3 linked regions of the Cricetulus griseus genome follow. The protein of the gene in region 1 interacts with the protein of each later gene in a pairwise test. Links are inferred from orthologs where the notes say so. Each region holds a gene or a part of one and is shown on either strand. Other genes may lie near its edges.

The links.
Region 2: the proteins of Atxn2 (region 1) and Sh3gl3 interact in binary tests that used the Homo sapiens proteins (3 or more experiments, as listed by UniProt). The link is inferred for Cricetulus griseus from reciprocal best matches to the Homo sapiens genes ATXN2 and SH3GL3.
Region 3: the proteins of Atxn2 (region 1) and Rbfox1 interact in binary tests that used the Homo sapiens proteins (3 or more experiments, as listed by UniProt). The link is inferred for Cricetulus griseus from reciprocal best matches to the Homo sapiens genes ATXN2 and RBFOX1.

What each region holds. Positions count from the first base shown.
Region 1 is NC_048597.1:101,660,449-101,664,099, forward strand, and holds the end of Atxn2 (ataxin-2), read left to right. Parts: intron 1-185; coding exon 186-413; intron 414-2,133; coding exon 2,134-2,302; intron 2,303-3,113; coding exon 3,114-3,142; coding exon of another isoform or gene 3,143-3,221; 3' UTR 3,222-3,536; downstream 3,537-3,651. UniProt on the Homo sapiens protein: Involved in EGFR trafficking, acting as negative regulator of endocytic EGFR internalization at the plasma membrane.
Region 2 is NC_048596.1:115,310,308-115,313,958, forward strand, and holds part of Sh3gl3 (endophilin-A3), read right to left. Parts: intron 1,542-3,651; coding exon 1,438-1,541; intron 449-1,437; coding exon 339-448; intron 1-338. UniProt on the Homo sapiens protein: Implicated in endocytosis. May recruit other proteins to membranes with high curvature.
Region 3 is NC_048600.1:39,428,748-39,432,398, reverse strand, and holds part of Rbfox1 (RNA binding protein fox-1 homolog 1), read left to right. Parts: intron 1-1,355; exon of another isoform or gene 1,356-1,358; coding exon 1,359-1,598; intron 1,599-3,651. UniProt on the Homo sapiens protein: RNA-binding protein that regulates alternative splicing events by binding to 5'-UGCAUGU-3' elements. Regulates alternative splicing of tissue-specific exons and of differentially spliced exons during erythropoiesis.

The sequences.
Region 1 (3,651 bases):
ACTGCCAGGCTGAGACTTGGGCTTGAGAACCCAGAAAAGACCATCTGGACAAGAGATGCCCATGATGCTCTTCTCCCTGCATCTCCTGGGCATGGCTAGAGTTGGGTGGGGCTTCTGCTGCCTTCAGTGTGTGAAGCTCTGACCCTAATGACTTCTCAGTAAAGAAGTTTCCCATTGCTTTGCAGCACCATCAACATCAAGCCGCCCAAGCTCTTCATCTGGCCAGTCCACAGCAGCAGTCAGCCATTTACCACGCGGGGCTGGCACCAACCCCACCTTCCATGACACCTGCTTCCAATACACAGTCTCCACAGAGCAGTTTCCCAGCAGCACAACAGACGGTCTTCACCATCCACCCTTCTCATGTTCAGCCGGCATATACCACCCCTCCCCACATGGCCCACGTACCTCAGGTAAACCAGCACTAGCCAAGTTTCTGTGAAGGCCACGTAGGGTGTGGTGGTTGTCAGATAAGCAGCAAGGAGCCAGATGCTCCCCAAGCCAGGAAACCCTATGTGTGGTGCCATCTGCCTGTCTCCCCCTCCCTGCTTAGTATGTGATCTTCTGGCCCTCAGTGAATGTTGCTATGATTTTGTGATGGGATCAGTGAAATTGTGACTTAGCAATTCCCAGCTGAGACCTTAAAACTCTGAGTCTGGAATGCACCCCAGTCCTTTCCTTTCTGTGTCTGCTTTGCTCCGTCTTTCTAGCTTAACCACTATGTGTCTATGTGTCCACACACAGACACCTCTACACATGCACACATGGGAGCCCGGAAGGGATGGCAGGCAGGCTTTCAATGGTTCTCAGCTCTCTGAGGTGACTGCACTAGGCCTGTTAGCTTGAATGTTAGACACACGAATTCCGGGACGGGTCTCAGTTGTTTGCCTGGTTACCCTCTATCTGCTGCAATCCTGTGTTGTGCTTCCTGAGCGCTTGGCCTTGGACTATGGTGCAGTGTAACTGAAGCTCCAGGGCAGCCCAGGGCCAGGGGAGGCCTCCATGGCTCTTAGTGTGAGGTGGCTGCATCAGGTGTCTCTGCTACTTTGATTGTAGCTGCCTGAGGCGGGTCTCACTTAGGTTTACTGAATGACTCCATTTCCTGTCACAGTGCGCCAGTGAGGCTCTGGCAAGGTGTGAGCTAGGGATGCTGTGCAGTTGGGTCTCTTGCAGAAGGCTAGTTTGTTACTAGGTGTTCTTTCCCCAGAGCTAAGGGTCTGTAGTATATACTCCTGTTGATTGGCTGGTGACAGTTGGGAGGGGAGCCAGTTTGGTCAGTGTGCTTTGGTGGAGTGAAACTTAAGAGAGCCAGGGTCCTGTAAGTGTCTAGCAGAGGCTGCGAATTTACTTTAAGATGGGCTATCCCCAAACCTCAATTGTGTGTTTGTGTAGAAGGGTAAGAGGCTTAACATAGGGAAAACAGAGAACCATGGGCCTGTTTGAAGGTGTGAACCAGCACTTCGCTGGGGTGATGGTCTAGAGCAATGCACACGATGGGAGGCAGGAAGCAGCCTCTTCCTGCTCTGCCCACTCCCTGCAGAGCTGAGGTCGAGCTCACCAACCGGTCAACCAACATCACTTTTCTAAGTTAGACTTGTTGCCACTTGGTACAGGACACCAGGCTGACCCAACTTCAGATCATTCTCATCTCATTGGAGCCATTAACTGCACCCTTTGCTCCATCAGCCAAGCTATTACATTGAGGGGCCTAAGTGCTGCTTCATTGTTTCTGGGGAACCCATCACGACTTGGGGAGGGCGGAAGAGGAGAGACTCAGGAAGCTGCTATGGGTGCTGGGGAGGTAGTCTCCTCACAGGCCCTTCCTTGTCAGTTGCTTTCTGACTTGAAAAGGGCATTGATGTATTTGGCTCCATGCCATAGCAAGTTAAGTATGTGCCCCTCCCGCCCCAATAGAGGCCTGCTCTTGGTGAAGACCTTGCCCTGTGTGATAATCTGTGAGCAGGCACTGGGGACTAGGAAGATGTGGCCAACTTTCCCATCCCAACCCTACAGGATCTGCCTCAAGGAGTCCATCTTGCCCCTTCTTGAGTCCCAGTCCAATGAAAGGAACAGTTGACTTGTTGTTTAAGACGGAGATGTTGCCTGTATGCGTAAAAGAGCTCTCTGTTTCAGGCTCATGTACAGTCAGGAATGGTTCCTTCTCATCCAACTGCCCATGCGCCAATGATGCTAATGACGACACAGCCACCCGGCGGTCCCCAGGCCGCCCTCGCTCAAAGTGCACTACAGCCCATTCCAGTCTCGACAACAGCGCATTTCCCCTATATGACGCACCCTTCAGGTGAGGCGTGTGTGTGCAGGGGCCGCCGGGGCACCCCGAGCATTCTGCTCGCACAGGTAGAATGGCAGGCAGGACCAGTGAGTGTTTCAGGCTCCAAACCTGACTAATAAGGCCCGTCCAAGTGTTTGCAGGAGGGATTGTGATGGTCAGGGAGCATCAGGGCTCAGGGCCTCTGGAGCTGAGTCTGTGTGTGTTCTGCTGGTATCAGGGTTGGCTTGAGAAGCAGCAGCCTCATTCTGGGTAGCTGATGCATGCCGAGGACTCAGTTGGCCTTCCTGGTTATGTATGACAGGCTGGACAGGGCAAGCGTGTTCCTTCCTGAGTCCCTATAGGCTGATGTGGGGGGTTTATACCCATGGCCGACTTTGATTGTAGCTTGGAGAACACTGATGAGCTGTGTGCGGACTGGATTGAGTGTAGTTTTAGCCCCAGCCTGTGCCCTGACACAGGACACCCATGATGTCTCGTACTGGATGGCTGCTGTGGCAATACCTGTCTCCCCTGTGACTTGGAAAGTATTGGTGCTTGGCTAGCATTAGTGGGAGGGGGTTTGAAGGCCTGTGCTCCTGCCCCACAAGCAGCAAGTCCAGGACTTGTATCTGAAGTGGTTTCACGTCTGACTGGTTTGTTTCTCCTCACCCCCTTCCCTCCCCAACCCCACCTTGGCTGCAGCTGGGGGGAGAGGGGCGCTAGCATTAAACCTCCAGTGTTACTCAGCAGGAGAGTAGATGACAGTCATGTGCTGCAGACACTAGGTTGGTGGGCAGTGGTGCCTGTGTTCTGTTTAAATAGCCACTTTTCTTTTTTACAGTACAAGCCCACCACCAACAGCAGTTGTAAGGCTGCCCTGGAGGAACCGAAAGGCCAAATTCCCTCCTCCCTTCTACTGCTTCTACCAACTGGAAGCACAGAAAACTAGAAGTTCATTTATTTTGTTTTTTAAAAAAATACACTGATTTAACATCCGATAGGAATGCTAACAGTTCACTTGCAGTGGAGGATGTTTTGGACCGAGTAGAGGCATGTAGGGACTTGTGGCTGTTCCATAATTCCATGTGCTGTTGCAGGGTCCCGCAAGTACCCAGCTCTGCTTGCTGAAACTGGAAGTTATTTATTTTTTAATGGCCCTTGAGAGTCATGAACGCATCAGCTAGCAAAAGAAGTAACAAGAGTGATTCTTGCTGCTATTACCGCTTTAAAAAAAAAAAAAAAATCAAGACTTGGAACGCCCTTTTACTAAACTTGACAGAAGTTCAGTAAATTCTTACCGCCAAACTGACGGATTATTATTTATAAATCAAGTTTGATGAGGCAATCACTGTCTACAGTGGTTCAACTTTTAAGTTAAG
Region 2 (3,651 bases), on another chromosome or scaffold:
GCACATCTCAGGTGCTCAGAAAACACTAATTAAAACTTTCTAACAAGTAGGAAGCTATTTTGAAGGTGTAGACCTTTAAATATAGAAAATAACATAGCAGCTATGGGTATTTAGCCAAGCGGATGTCTAACAACATTAGTACACAAGGGACTTCTTCCCAGTACTGGCTTTCAAAATTTCAATACCTCACAATGGAACTGGGAAAAGGGGAACTCATCAATCAACTGAGGAAAGCCCACCGGTTTCTCAGTGCATTCCCACCAACAGCCTCACCAACATACAAGGGTGAAAGCACCTAACTGGAGAGCCCACTGGGCACACTCAGACGGCTAACTTACCTGACATCTTTGATGTCGTGCTGGAAGAGACTCCATTGATATCACTGGAGCTCGTGTTCACAGGCTTTGGCATATATTCTCGCTTGGCCTCTTTGGAGGTAACCGATATTCTGTAATACACATGGGAGAGGCCAAGTCAGACCTTTTTCCCAGACAGTAGAGCCACCAACAGGCCTTTGCTATTCTTGAAGACCACCAGACCCAATGAGATTGTGAGAACAAGGATTGTGTACACTGACTTCTGGGCACCCCGAGTGTCAGGGATATGAGCGGTGTGCAGTTCTTCCATTGTGTACTTTAGTTTCTAGTTGAAATTCACCGGGAAGAATGTCCTCATAATGTCCCTGAGGCCTAGCAGACACTGCCATAGGCTAGCTGCCTTCTTTCCTCTCTGCTGGAGAGGGAACCATCCAAATATGTTCATATGACACCTAGAAGAAGGCCACCTGCCTACAGAAGTGGATGCTTCTGGAATGGCCTCCCCTGTGTAACTACAGCACCAACTGAAGCAAAAAATCTCTCCAAATTTATTCATTACTATAATCCTATGTAAAACAATTTTCTGTTATAAAGCCTAATCAAAACATAGTGTAGGTTTAGCCCAATAATTTGATTAATGGGGCTGCTGTGCACACTGTAAATGATATTACTGATTTTCAGAAAGTAGGAATTGCACAGACCATAAAAGTCCCAAGGCAGAGAACAGTATTTCTTATCATTTAGAGGCTATCATTGAGCACAGCCTGATAACATTTTTATATAGTTCTGAGTGTCATCTGGCTCTCTCAGCACACACTCCACCTCTCAACAGGTAAACAGAGTGAACCCTTTGTCAAGCAGCAAGGAAGCCACAGGAGCTCAGGCAGGATGGGTCACAAATGGAGGGACATTAATAAAAAGAAAAAGGAGGGAAGCCATTCCAGCCCTTTACCCTGTTCTGCCCTCTTGTCCCAAGCTACATATATATTATCTTAGCCTCATCTCATACCCAACCTGAAAGCCAGCTTGAGAATTCCAAACAGAATGGGCAGAAGGGGCTAGAGGACAGATGGTGGCTGCACTCTGCAGCCCCCTGCCTAAGCAAAGCAAAAGTGCTTACCGCAACTCTAGCTTCTTCTGTAGCTCCTTGAGGATCTCTGTGGACTGCTTGTGATAGTCTAATGCTGCCTCTACAAACACGGCCAGCTGGCTGACTTGCTCTATCTGTGATAGAAATACAAAGTTACTCCATGCTGGCCAGAGCTCTTGGGATGTCCAGAGCAAACAGGAAACCTGGTGACAACAGCTCATCTCTGTAGGGCAGCCTCAGCCCTGGTCCAGTCCATCTCATCTCATCCACCTCGGAGCCCTACAGTCATGATGAGGGTCACATGGAGCTGGAGAGGCTGGAAAAACACTGCCAAATTGATCTGTGATCATGAATCCACTGTAATTCCAACCAAACACCATTTTAAAGTTATAGAATGATATTCTTACAATTATTCTCAATGCCCTAAAACACGTGGATCTGAAGATGGCAGGTGGCTTAGAGTATTATTGCTGGGAAGAGACATCATGACCACAGCACCTCTTATAAAGGAAAACATTTAATCATGGTGGCTTACTTACAGTTCAGAGGTTTAGTCCATTATTGTCAAGGCAGGAAGCAGAGCAGCATGCAGGCAGAGAAGGAGCTGAGAGTTCTTATATCTTGACTCACAAGCAACAGGAAGCGGTCTGAGACACTGGGCTTGAGCATATATGAGACTTCAAAGCCCACCTCCACAATGACACATTTCATTCAATAAAGCCACACATACTCCAACAAAGACATACCTCCTAATATTGTCACTCCCTTTGGGGGCCACTTTCTTTCAAACCACCACAGTGGGAGAGAGTTTGCCCAACTGTAAGTGAAACCAATGCTTGAGAGATGAGCTTTCTTAATGGCATGTCTCTGTGAGTGCTTTCTAGTTAAGTCAGAATAAGAAACAAAGCCAATGAACCCATGACCAGAGAAAGCAGGGGCAGCATGCAGGTCACACCTGCTCCAGGCCAATGAATTGTTTGTCCCTGTGTTTCTGTTACCATCCAACAAAGTCTTTCTCCTGAAACACACAGCAGAAAGGGATGAGCAGTGCAGACTCCACTGTTCCCCTTTCCCACAAACTGACAAGCCCAAAGATCTGCAGAGCTGAAGGGGGCCTGAGAGTTTCCTGCTTATCAGTGGGTTCAAGAACCACTACAGGAAATAAGGATTAAGTTTATTTCTAGAACCTTCTATAGCAAGGTCCAGAGGATTGAGGCAATTCCCCAACCCATCCACCCCATGCCCACCCCAAATCTCTGATATTCCAGCTCCAGACAGAGATACAAATCAAAACTATGTGTCCCAGGTCTTCCAACCAGTCTGGGGCAAAACCTGGCTGCTTCCTCACTCTGTAGTCTCTTGTCTCCCACATAGCCACCTGAGGACTTGCTGGCTTCCACAGATCCATGCTGCCTCCATGTATTGTTGAGAACTCTTTCAGCTGCCTGCCCTTTACTTTTACCACCCACTTATTTTAAACATGGGTTTAATGTGCATTTACAACATACATGGTTCCCACTCATGCCAGGAACGCAATGGGCACATGACTAAGGCAAGCCCTGGCATTGCACTTACTTCACCATGCTCTGTGGCTAGAAAAGCAGCATGGGCTTTCCATTTCCAAAAACCCAATAAACAAAACAAAGACAGTCTGGCCCCTGCAAAATCCTAAGGATTTCTTAAGTTTCACCTCCTTGGCTTTTAAGAACACTTTTAACAAGGCCAGCGCCACAGCCTGACATGATCATGGCAGAATCTGCTATGAAACAATGCTGCTTCCTTGCAACCCTGAAACTGCACACTCAGTAAGAACTGCTATGGCCCCTCTGTCTTTAGTAATAAGTCTGTTTGTACCCACTTCTTTGAACTAAGCTTGTCATTTATGAAACTTAAATGGCTAACCTTCTGCAAATGGGAATGGGGATCACCAACTGTTTCTCTGACATCTGGAGCTGCATCTGGAATTCTTCAATTGATAGCTGACTTTGGGGAGGCAATGGAACCCAGAACCCCTAAACGTTTGACAGACAACAGCACCACTACACGTGGTACCTGCAAACAGTGGGTACCCAGGGAAAGTACTGAGAGTAGTTACTAATGAGTGCAAAGGCAAGTCAGACCCAAACTGGATTATCTATCACTGTTGGAAACCGGAACTTTCCAGCCCCACTCCCACCCCTAGTCCAGGATGTGAACTGTGTGCTGGGAACCAGTAGATGTGGCCTCTGCTTCCAAGGCTCAAAC
Region 3 (3,651 bases), on another chromosome or scaffold:
GATGCAGTCCTTGTAAAAGTACTTAAACTTCAACACTATACAATTAAGGGTTCCCTCTAAAACAGGTATGGACTCTGTGTCTGTGCCTTGCTCAAGTTACTGTGGCAGAGGCTGAGGTCTCCTGTTGACAGCACTTATTGATGTGTGTGCCCTGCAATTCTTGTAGAAGGACTAAAGTCACATGTAACTGTCCACAGAAAAGGGGTGTGGCCACTAATTGCTGAGCTTAATTGCCTGCCTTCCTTAATTTCTTCCTTCCTTCCTTGCTTCCTCCCTCTTTCCCTGCCTTATTCCGTCCCTCCTTCCCACCCTTCTTCTACCCCCTTTCTTTTTGACTGTACACTTGAATCTCCTGAGGCCACTGAAGTTTTGGACCTCTAGTCTACTGCTTCTTATGCATTTTGCATATGTGTATGCAGAGTGTGGGAAGGGTGTTGGAGTTATGGGGGTGGAGGTGGAGGGAGGGAGATGTTTCCAGAAATGGAAACATTTGAATTCAGGTTTTTTTTAATTCTTTTGACTTGACTGTAATTATCATGCATGTTTAGGCTATAACTGAAGGGTGAATTGTTATATAATCACACACACACACACACACACACACACACACACACACACACACACACATATATATATATATATATATATATATATATATATATATAAGACAGGGTGAGGGGCATTGATTAATGAGTCTCAGAGTTAAATCCAGAATCTGAAAGGGAGAAAGTAGGGATATCACAGGGTTTCTCTAAATTAAGGCCTAAATTTCCATTGGCTGCTTTTATCACAGATATGCATACAATAATAACACACACACACACACACAGAGAGAGAGAGAGAGAGAGAGAGAGAGAGAGAGAGAGAGAGAGAGATCTTTACTAGGGCCCTTCAAAAGTACCTAACAATTGAAATCAGTCCAAATGCTTCTCTCAAGCACACACTCAGTGTTCTTGGCACTGTATCAAATTGGGACTCCAGTGTCACCATAGATGACACAATGTTAACCTCTTCCAAAATTGAGGTGAAACAAAGAGGATTTTCCAGTGGTAGACAGACCCTACAGTCTTAGCCAATCAGGTGTACAGATCATGTAGTCTCCGCAAGTTTGATTGGAGTCTTGGGGAAAGTGACTTCATCATTGTGTGCCTTGATTTTTCCATCTATACATCGAGAATAATGATGACTGCTGTTTGCTCACAGTGACTTCCTGAAGGTTTGGCTGGGGTGGTCCCTCTTGGGCTGGAGGTCTTCAGCTGGACCCTAGGAAGTGTGCTGGGACTTGAATCCCTGGGCTCTTTTGAACAGTTCTGTTTGCAGAGCAATAATAGTGTTCTGTCTTTTTTTTCCTCTCTCAGGGTAATCAGGAAGCAGCGGCCGCCCCTGACACAATGGCTCAACCTTATGCCTCAGCCCAGTTTGCTCCACCTCAGAATGGCATCCCCGCAGAATACACGGCCCCTCATCCCCATCCCGCGCCAGAGTACACCGGCCAGACCACCGTCCCCGACCACACATTAAACCTGTATCCTCCTACACAGACGCACTCGGAGCAGAACGCTGACACAAGTGCGCAGACCGTCTCCGGCACCGCCACAGTAAGTGGATGCTGCATCCTAGACCTGGAGGGTGCTGTTCCCAAGCAGGTGCCCCAGTCCTGCTGCTGGTAGTGAACCATGTACACTGTGTGCTAGAGATCTTGTCAAGCAAAGCAGCTCTATTCCTCTCCTTATATTACCAACTTTCCAGTGACTGGGCATCCTTCCTTACTAGTTAGAACATGTTTCCATTTGCCATATTTATTTGTAAATGGACATAGGCATCTATTTTCCTGTCTCTAAAGTGATGAGTTGAACACAATGCTATCCCAGTAGAGTGCATACTTTTAAGCTATTTCATGGAAATATGGGGGTCAGGGGATGTAGCTCAGATATAGAGTGCTTGTTTGGCATGTCCAAATTCTTGGGTTTAGTCTTCAGCACTGTAAAACCAGCAACAACAAAAAACACAACTTGGACACATAACTTAGCCACCACAAATTTATCTGTTTTAGGTGTATGGTTTGCTGGTTTTAAGAACATTTACACAGCTGTGTAACCATTGCCAAATTTTGATGTTAGAACATTTTTTAATCAATCCTAAAACAAAGCTTGGGCCCATTTGCAGGCCAGCCATCTTTATTCTTGGGTGAGTTCATTTGAGTCTCATTTATATTTGTATCTATGTGTCCTTAGTTTGTGATGTGTTGTTTGTGCATTGGATCATATCAAGTAATCAAGAATGGCCTTCAGCTTTCTGTGTGGGGTGGAAATAAGCTTGAACTAAGCCTCTTCCCTGAGCCTAAGTGCTGGGATTGCAGGGATGCCCTATCATGTCCAGTTTCTGCAGTGCTAGGAACAGAACCCAGGGCTTGGTGCATGCTAGGCCAGCACTCTCCTAGCCAAGCTATACCATCTAGCTGTAGTCTGTGGGAGTTTGTTGCTAGTACATAAAGAAGGGATAGATATGAGGGATTATTAGTTGGGCAGGAAAAGTGTTAATCCTTAAGAAATATAAACAGAAAGATGGACTTGATGGATAAGAATTAAGCAAGCAATCAGAAGGCAGAGACAAAATTTTATAGCCACCCTATGTGAAATCTAGTAGTGGGATGGTAATCAAACATGACTGTGGGCACCAATATTTACATTAAAATTAGATGCTCATCTATGAACCACCTATAATAATTAAGGATCTGTAAACCTGTATAGTCCATGTTGTGGAAAACTTCCTCTGCAAAATTCATTAGAGATGCAAATAAGCTCTAGCATGTAGCATTTTACTGGTGTAAGGCAATGCTGCCTCTTCCTTCCACCCTCAAGGGCCTGGAAACCCAGAATCCTGACACTGAACATACCTGTGTTGGGCACATGTGTAAGTAGCTCCCATCTTTGTACTGCTGAATACCTATTTCATTGCATGGACATACCACAGCTTGTTTTTCCATTGTGCATAGATATGTGGGTTGTTCTCTCTCCATGGTAACTCACGGAAAATTAAAACTAATGTGAACACAAGTAAGCATGTCAAGTGCAAAACAGAAGAGAAGCAAGAATAGGTGTGTTAAAGTATAAAGAAACAGAGACAAACACTTTCTTGAGACTTTCATTTTCTAAATATGTATGACCTTCATTTTCTCCCTGTAACAACTGAGAGTGAGGGGTGGTATTTGGAAATGAGGGAGAGTGATTTGGGATTTGGGCAAAGATGCCAGGAAAATGCTCTGAAAAATATCCTAGAATATTTGAAAGCATGGAAATCCTGAGTTTAGAAAGCATGCTTTTGTGGTGGGGCTGGCCATTGCTTTGTCTTCCCTGGTCCTATTTAAATGATGCACACTATAGGAGAGGAAGTAATAGAAGATAGATACCATCTTTTCTGCTTCAAACAGTTATATGCAGATTCTTTCCTCTCTTTGGCCAAAAAGGAAGGTACTTATATGTGTCTGGGTATATACCCATGAAGAGGTCAAAGGAACTCCTTGAATGTCCTCTATGGCTCTCCACCCTAGTCTCTTGAGACAAGGTCTATCACTGGACCTGGAACTCACTGTCTTTTCAGGTAGGTTGACAGGCCATCAAGTGCCAGCAGTGTTCTTATCTCCAGCCCCCA